Schizosaccharomyces pombe: one gene and its partner. The protein of the gene in region 1 purifies or fractionates together with the protein of each later gene. This does not show direct contact. Each region holds a gene or a part of one and is shown on either strand. Other genes may lie near its edges.

The links.
Region 2: the proteins of ssm4 (region 1) and arp1 purify together in Schizosaccharomyces pombe (affinity purification with western blotting; one study listed by BioGRID). This does not show direct contact.

What each region holds. Positions count from the first base shown.
Region 1 is NC_003424.3:4,534,811-4,538,736, reverse strand, and holds the start of ssm4 (dynactin microtubule-binding subunit, p150-Glued Ssm4), read left to right. Parts: upstream 1-2,000; 5' UTR 2,001-2,050; coding exon 2,051-3,926. Other genes in the region: RNA polymerase II-associated Paf1 complex subunit Tpr1, read left to right, coding at 1-1,602. UniProt on the Schizosaccharomyces pombe protein: Binds to nuclear microtubules with the effect of either modifying their structure or function. This then promotes meiotic nuclear division.
Region 2 is NC_003423.3:4,081,937-4,085,862, reverse strand, and holds arp1 (centractin family actin-like protein Arp1), read right to left. Parts: upstream 1,927-3,926; coding exon 1,910-1,926; intron 1,867-1,909; coding exon 1,836-1,866; intron 1,767-1,835; coding exon 1,702-1,766; intron 1,663-1,701; coding exon 636-1,662; 3' UTR 515-635; coding exon of another isoform or gene 387-514; 3' UTR 355-386; downstream 1-354. Other genes in the region: mrm1 (ribose methyltransferase), read left to right, coding at 1-23, 70-343, 387-514; SPOM_SPBC1347.14C (uncharacterized protein), read left to right, coding at 3,219-3,584; protein sro1, read right to left, coding at 3,336-3,656. UniProt on the Schizosaccharomyces pombe protein: Core component of the dynactin complex which assists cytoplasmic dynein by increasing its processivity and by regulation of its cargo binding.

The DNA of each region.
Region 1 (3,926 bases):
GATGCCAATCCTGAATTAAGCTTGCTCTTGGATTACAATCTTGCACGTTGTGAAGAAGAATTGGGTAACACTTCTGTAGCTAGTGAAGCGTATGTTTCGATTCTCGAAAAACATCCATCTTTTATTGATGCCCGTATTCGCAAATGTTTACTTCAGTTATCCAATCCTAACGAGGAAACGTTTAAAGAAATTCGTCATATCATGAACGCAGATTCTCAAAATTTAGAGGTTCGAGCATTTTTTGGTTGGTATTTGAGTAAACAAAAGCGTCGCCCAGTAGAAGATCCTGAAGTTAGACACTGCTCTCAGACCCTTAGACATTGGCACGATGACATTTACTCCCTAGTTCAACTCGGTAATGCCTATATGAGACAGGCAAGAGAGTTTCGTGTACATAATGATCGTGAAAAGTTAAAAAGGCAAAAACTTTACATCAAAGCTATTCAGTCTTATGATCAAGCTATTAAATTTGATCCAAAAAACGCACACGCTGCCCAGGGTATTGCCATTATATTAGCACAAAACAGGCAATTTTCTAAAGCTCTACTTATTTTGAGTAAGGTTCGTGAAGCAATTAAGGATGCTACAACACTCATAAACATTGGCAATTGCCTTGCAGAACTCAAACAGTTCAGTCGTGCTATTGAGGTATTTGAAACCGTGTATTCTAGTACCGGAGAAAGTGATACTTATGGTGTATTGAGCTGTTTAGGCCGAGTTTGGCTACAGCGTGGTCGCGAAAGCAAAAACGTCGACTATTTAAAAGAATCCGTGCGATATGCTACATTAGCTTTAGAAAAAAATCCCGAGAATCCAAGCCTTTTATTTAACGTTGCCTTTGTACAATTCCAGCTATGTGAGCTCATCCGTCAGAAACCCGAGAACAGTAGAACTGTTGAGGATCTGAACTTTGCAATGCAACAGCTTGACGCATCGATTGAAACTTTTACCAAACTGGTGTCTGTCGAACATCCACCCTATTCTCCTACCAGTATTGAACAACGTGCAAAGATGGCTAAAAATACTACTAAGCGTCAATTGGAGCGCGCTATTCAAGCGCAAATCGAATATGAGAAGAGTGTTGCTGCCAAACTTGAAGATGCTAGGATTCAAAGGGAAAAGGAGAAGGCTCGAAGATTGGCAGAGGAAGAAGCTTTACTTAAGGAAAAGCAAGAACGTGAGAGGCAACTTCAGGAAGAGCGACAAAAGATGCAAGAAGAAGTTTTGGAGTGGAGAAAGAGTCAGCAGAAGGCTTCTGAAGATGATATGAGCTTGTCTGATGACGAAGAAAAACAGTCAGGCAAGAAGAAAAAGAAAGATCGAAAAAAGCGTAAATCTAAATCGAAACAGGAATCCTCGGATAGCGGAGTAAGCGAAGATGATGAAATACCATTGAGCGATGCCAGAAATAAAACTAAAAAACGTCGTGTTAATAGAAGAGTCATATCCGAAGAGTATACTTTTGACCAGGATAGTGACGCGGAGGGAAATCAAGAAGAGGAGGTTTCTCGTACTATCGAAGAAAAGCAGGATAACGATATCACAGACAATCAAGATGACAATAAAGAGTTAAATCTATTCTCTGAAGAGGATGAAGAATAATAATTATGCTCATTGCTGTTTGAATTATGCCGTTCAGATAAGAATTTTCTTATTTCAATGGCATATTAACTTTCTCCCTTCAGTTATTTGTTGTCTGTCATATATATGATTTATGATCTCGTGTAATAATATCATTTAAATTAATTTTTTGTATACAAAAGCTCTTGTCATTCATTTACGCTTTTTAGACTAGATTTGTTTTTTTCTATCCACCCTTTCAAAAAGAACTAATAGGTTTATTCACCCAAGAATCGTTTCATTCTACTTAAATAACATTAACATGCGTGTTAAAAGTGATTTGAACATTGGTGATTAACATGCTCAACTGTGCAACATAGTGATGATTTTAGCGCGCCTGTATTGCAAACATTGTTCCCCCCTCCCCACACTAATCTCACAGTTTCTAACCATTTTATCAAGTACTTTCTGAGCCTTTCTTTTTTTTCAAATGAGTTATTTGTCCGTCGGGGATGAAGTCCTCATCCGTGGAGAATTAGGAATAGTTCGATTTGCCGGTAGTACTGATTTTGAAAGTGGTATTTGGTTAGGCGTAGAATTGTTAAATGGAAAAGGAAAAAATGATGGAAGCGTAAAAGGGAAACGATATTTTTCATGTGAGAAAGGAAAAGGGATATTTGTACGCGCATGCTCTTCGAATGTGATGAAAAGACCAAGTGTCGTCAAGTCAAGGAAAAAAGGATCAGAAAACATATCAAATTTTATGGAAAAAACTAAAGCAATTAAACAAAAATCACGTAGGGAGCCCTCAAAATTTGAAAGATCATTGGCACGCCCATTGTGCATTACACCTATTGATTCGTCTACTCCCACAAAGACAGCTACGTTTTATACTTCATCTACAACTGAAAATCTAGATGAGCTAAATTTTTCAACAGAAGAATTATCAAGTTTTGACACTACTTTGTTAAACTCAGATACGAGCAAATTGTCTGGGCTTGACGATAGTAGTTTTATGGAAGAGGAATTTGTATGGCAAGTTGACAACGTTTTGCAGGAATGTGAAAAAAAATTTACTCCTCATTCAAAGGGAAGTTATTTAAAAGAGAATTTAAAGTCAGAATTAAGGAAGGGTCGTTTGGATGAATTGATGTGTGAAAATACCGCCTTAAAAGAAAAAATTGATAAATTAAATAAGGAATTAGAGAAAGTTGAACCTCAGTTGACATTCCTTCGCAGTAAAAACAGTATTGAAAAACCTCGGAATTTTAGGCGTGAAAAGTTTCTCAAAAAATTCTTGGCTATGCAGAAAGAAATAAAGTATCTAAGAAAGCGAAAGTTGCAAATTCGAAAGATTCCTAATTATAAGTACTCTGATCGAAGTTTGAATTCCAAAACTCCTAAAAGCCAGGACAACTGGACTACACAAGTTACACCATCTAGTCTCCTTGGGGTCTCAGAGGTTTCTAAGGTTTTGCAATTAAAACAGGTTCAGGTCGACATAACTGAGCTTGTAAAAATTCCTAAAAACCCGTTTTCTGAGAAATTGACAATATCTAACGTGAATAGATACTTAAATATTGTACCGGGAAGTTTGGATTTACAATTTTCATTAACAAATGAAAATTTTGTACATTGGAATAGCACAGTTTATCAAGAATTATTAAACTTAAAGTCCAACAACTCTTCAGTGGATGGTGTGAAGACAAGAAGGCAACTGTTGGAGGAAAATGCTTTGTTGTCTCATAAAGTATTAAAACTAACAGAAGAAATTCAAGACTTGGAAACTTTGAATCAGCTAAACACTGAAATAGAAGCAAGACAATCGGAAAAGTTAAATGAGGTGCAAGAGGAAACTCAAAGGCTATCTCAGTTACTAATATCTTCTCAACCTGCTTTGACAGAAGTTAAACATTTGAAACTATGCTTATCAGACTCTCAAGAGGAATTATTGCAATTAAATGCAAAACTTGAGAAAGCAAATATTGTAATAGACGAGTTAAACAGTGCAAAATTGAAACTATCAAAACAAGTGGAGGAGGAAAGTAGTATGAAAGACGACCTTACAGAAATGAACCAACGTTTAAAAGAACAAATTGAATCATACGAGAATGAAGTTAACTCTGAAATCACTTCTAGAACATTGAAAGAATTTGAAACATTAAAGACACAGTATGAGAAAAATCTTTGTAATTTAAGAGAACAGCTAAAGACCGCAAGGATGAAACTGGCCGATAAATATCCACAAGGTGACAATACTAGTGAAAATATAGACTGGCTCAAACACAGTTTACGGGATTCTAATACTGAAAACTCAATTCCAAGCCCATTGACCTTTGCCTGCAAGGAGATAAGAAAATTAGTTG
Region 2 (3,926 bases), on another chromosome or scaffold:
TGGGTGCCGTTATTCGAAGCGCTGTAAGCTATCGTTTGCTACTATTTAAAATTTCTAATTGGGTTTAAGTATATTTTAGGCGCTAAAGGGATTTTATTATCAAAAAAACATAATACATTCTTGTCACCGGTCGTTAGTAAAGCTTCAGCTGGAGCTCTTGAAGTCTTCAACATTAGCCACGTGAAAAATCCTATGGTCTTTTTGAGGAACTCAGTTTTAAAAGGTTGGAAAGTCATAGGGACCAAGCCAGCTTTGCCAGATAACAAAGATCAAATTTACACCCCGCATAAAATCAAAACAGAACTAATGAATGAACCGAAAATACTTGTACTAGGAAGTGAAAGTAAGTGTATTGTATGAATGCCTTTATTGCTAACTTTATAAAGAGGGTTTAAGAACGAACATTTTAACGCAATGTTCTCATTATGTTTCAATTCCCGGCGGTGATAAATACGTTGATTCATTAAACGTCTCAGTAGCTGCTGGTATTCTTTTGTATAGCTTAGTGAATTGAAAATATTAGACTGATTGTTTAAAAGATATACCAAATTTTAAAGCTTTAGACTGGTACAATGTAATATTGGTTTTAAAAGTTTCAAATGAAGAGCGATAAACTGCAATACTCGTTTTAAGTTTCAAAATCTTCGCCTAAAAATTACGTTTTGATCATTTTTATACTCCTCTGAAGTAATTAAAAGCCGACGAAATGTACTTAGACTGGCTAATATTGAGCCGCCAAGCCAAGCATTATGCATACGTTCAGGGGAAGCATAAATTTTAACTTGATTTTTTTTCCCAGAAATTGCACGTAACTCAGAGATGAATCTCTCCCCAAATCCTCTCAATAACGTTGAACCTCCAGAAAGTACAATGTTTGAATATAAGGTTGACCTTAAATCGATGTCGGACAATAAAATAGACTTGAACAATTGTATGTGAAGACCAGACGCCTCAGAACCCATCATTTCCGGGTTGAATAAAACCTCAGGCGCAGAAAAGCATTCTGTACCCAAAGTTATAGTTTGGTTGTCTGGGAGTTGATATGTATGAATCTGCGGTTTGTGTTCAGTCCATGATTCTATTTCTGATCTAAAGTCAGATGCTACGTAGCAACATTTTTCTTTAATTTCCCGGACAATTTCTTTCTCCGCCGAGCTGACGAGTTCGTGGCCAGATTTTCGAAGTTGCAATTGCAAATAATCTGTAACGTCACGACCTCCAATTTCCTCTTGTTGTATAGCTGATGGAATGGAAAACCCATCATAAATAGGAACACTATGAGTCAAGCCATCTCCACATTCAAGAACAATGCCAGTTGTACGTGCGGAGGCATACAGTGCCAATACAGGCTGCAAGGAAAAGCTCAATGCTGGAACGTTTAACGTTTCATAAAAATACTCTGCAATTTTTTCTTTGTTTCGGATGTTAGCCAAAGGAGGTTCGGTTAAAAGCAAGGGATGTTCTTCCGGTAAAGTATTGAGCTGTTGATCTGAATAAATATAGCTCCAAATCTCTTCCATATCGGACCAATTTTGGATGATTCCCCGTTCAATTGGACGTTGAATTTTAAGCAACCCGCGAAGATTTTGAGCCTCAGAACCAACAAACATATCTTTTTGGATACTACTTGGCATGACACGCTCATGCTTAATTCTTCCAACACTGTATATTAGTATCTAGTATGAGAAATAAACTTCATACCAAGTCGGAAAAAGGCATTTGGGAATATCATCGCCAGCGAATCCAGCTTTAATAAATCCAGAGCCCTAGATAGTTTTGTCAATATAACTAGACAGTTTAACAGGAAATAGCCGGCTAAAAAGAGTCTGGCATACATTGTCGATACATATCGGCTGATTATCAAAGCTAAAACGCGTCAATAAATAGAATTCTTTCAAAAGACACGCACATTTCAGTAACAGTCATCCAAAAAGCTGAAATATCAAAGTTGAGACTCGGAGGTTTTAAAAGAAAGTTTTATTAAGGGTTTAAATTATTCTTTAAGCGGCTTGAAATTTGAGAGCACTAGCAATAATGAAGGAAATGGCGGGTAAACAGTAATAGAAGACGCAACTTTGAAGGTTTTGGGCTTTGCCAAGAAATTTTATACTAACAGGAGGAACAACAATCGTACCAATTTTTTAAAAAAATACCTTAAACCAATGGAAATTGGTCACTAACAGCTATTAGTTAAAGCAATTGGGAATTGTCTAAAGAAAGTAGCATGCTTGACAAGAAACTTAGCAGTATTAAGCTTCGTTATGTATCACTATACCCTGCAATTATCATACATAAGTTGTTTCATTCAATAGGCTTTTTGAATGAAAACCATATAAAGAAATTACGACAACCCTTTCGATTGAATTTGTTTCTTCAGTTGAATTGTAGTATATGCTTAATAATGGTTATGTTTACATCTTGGTTAGACCCATCATAAAGCCGCTCGTACTCGTAATTGTTGTTGAATGGATTGTAAAGAAGACTGTACAAAATTCACTGCATTTTTAACGTGTTTTCGAAATAACTAATCAAACTATCAAAAAGATAACGTATCAACACTAAACCGCACTACTTTATAAATTGCACATCGGGTTGCTTCTTAGCTAGACGGAAAGACAATGCTGACCTTGTCTTCATAATTGTTTACAATCTTCCACCATTCATCTACTCATTAATCAGTAGTAATGTATTAAAATAAACAATTTCTATTTTTTAATTATACAAACAATTTCCTATTCTGAATCTAAATGTAACAGTTGTATCGCATTTGGCATTTCTTTTTTGTAATCCAGCAACCGAAAATTCAATCAAATCAATGTGACCATGGCGAATTGGATATAAAATAACAAAGATTAAGGTGGAAACTTCAACTTTATCAGCGACTATCATTATAGTCAACAAGTAGACAAACTAATAATATAAAGACTAACAAGTCTTGGGGGTATAAACTAATAATACATATGTCTTGCCTCATTTAAAAATGGTAAAAGCAAGGAACCGTTCACGGCTTATATCGATAAACATTCTAAAGCAGGGGAACCAATGTGTTGAAACTGGTAATAAAAAGAGGGATGGGGGTGGTAAAAGAATTCCAATAATCGAAATTCCTTAGAAAAATAAAAATAAAATCCATGTCTTAACAATTACATCAAGAAGAGTAAAAAAAAAAGAAAAGCGAAAATAACGAATTAAAAAAGATTGCATTGTTAGATTGTTTAATGCTTTTATCGAATAAGATAAAACATTCAATTTTCCAATTTTTTGTTTTCCCTTTTTATTATTTTCTTCTGATCATAACGGAAATCGGGTTTTCTTCTTGTATACAATATTCGGGTTTAAGCGCTTACTTCCCAATCAAATGCACCCTTTCTTTGCTCAGCTCCCCAATTAGGAGAGTTCAAGTCATCTCTGACAGTTTGAACGTAAAAGGAAAGAGGTTGCTCTTGGTCGTTACAGCTCATAGCCGACTCAGAGTTAATGCCGATATCGGTGGTTTGATCAGCAACATTGGATGCGGTAAAAGACCAACCATTCTTAGTACCGTCAACACGGGAAGCAACACTAGTAGAGAAGGAAAATCTTGAAGCCGTTGCCTTTAAAGAGGTAGCGGCTAAAAGAGACTTGGAGATGACACCTTGTTTAAGAATAGAAAACATAGCGATGAATCAAAAATGTTTATTGATGAAATTAAAAAGAAAAGAAAATAACAGTGATTAAATAGAAATGTGTAGAATAGAAGTATCACCGTTCGCAGATTTAATTATCGAGACGTCAGCGAAGAAAGAAAAAAAAAATTTTCTTAACTAATTAAACCAACGAATAAAAAATTTTTTTTCTGAAGATGACCGTGTTGATCAAACCAATATTCTTTATTGTTCACTAAAAAGAATATCAAAAGAAGTATTTAGTAGTAGCTAAAATGTATT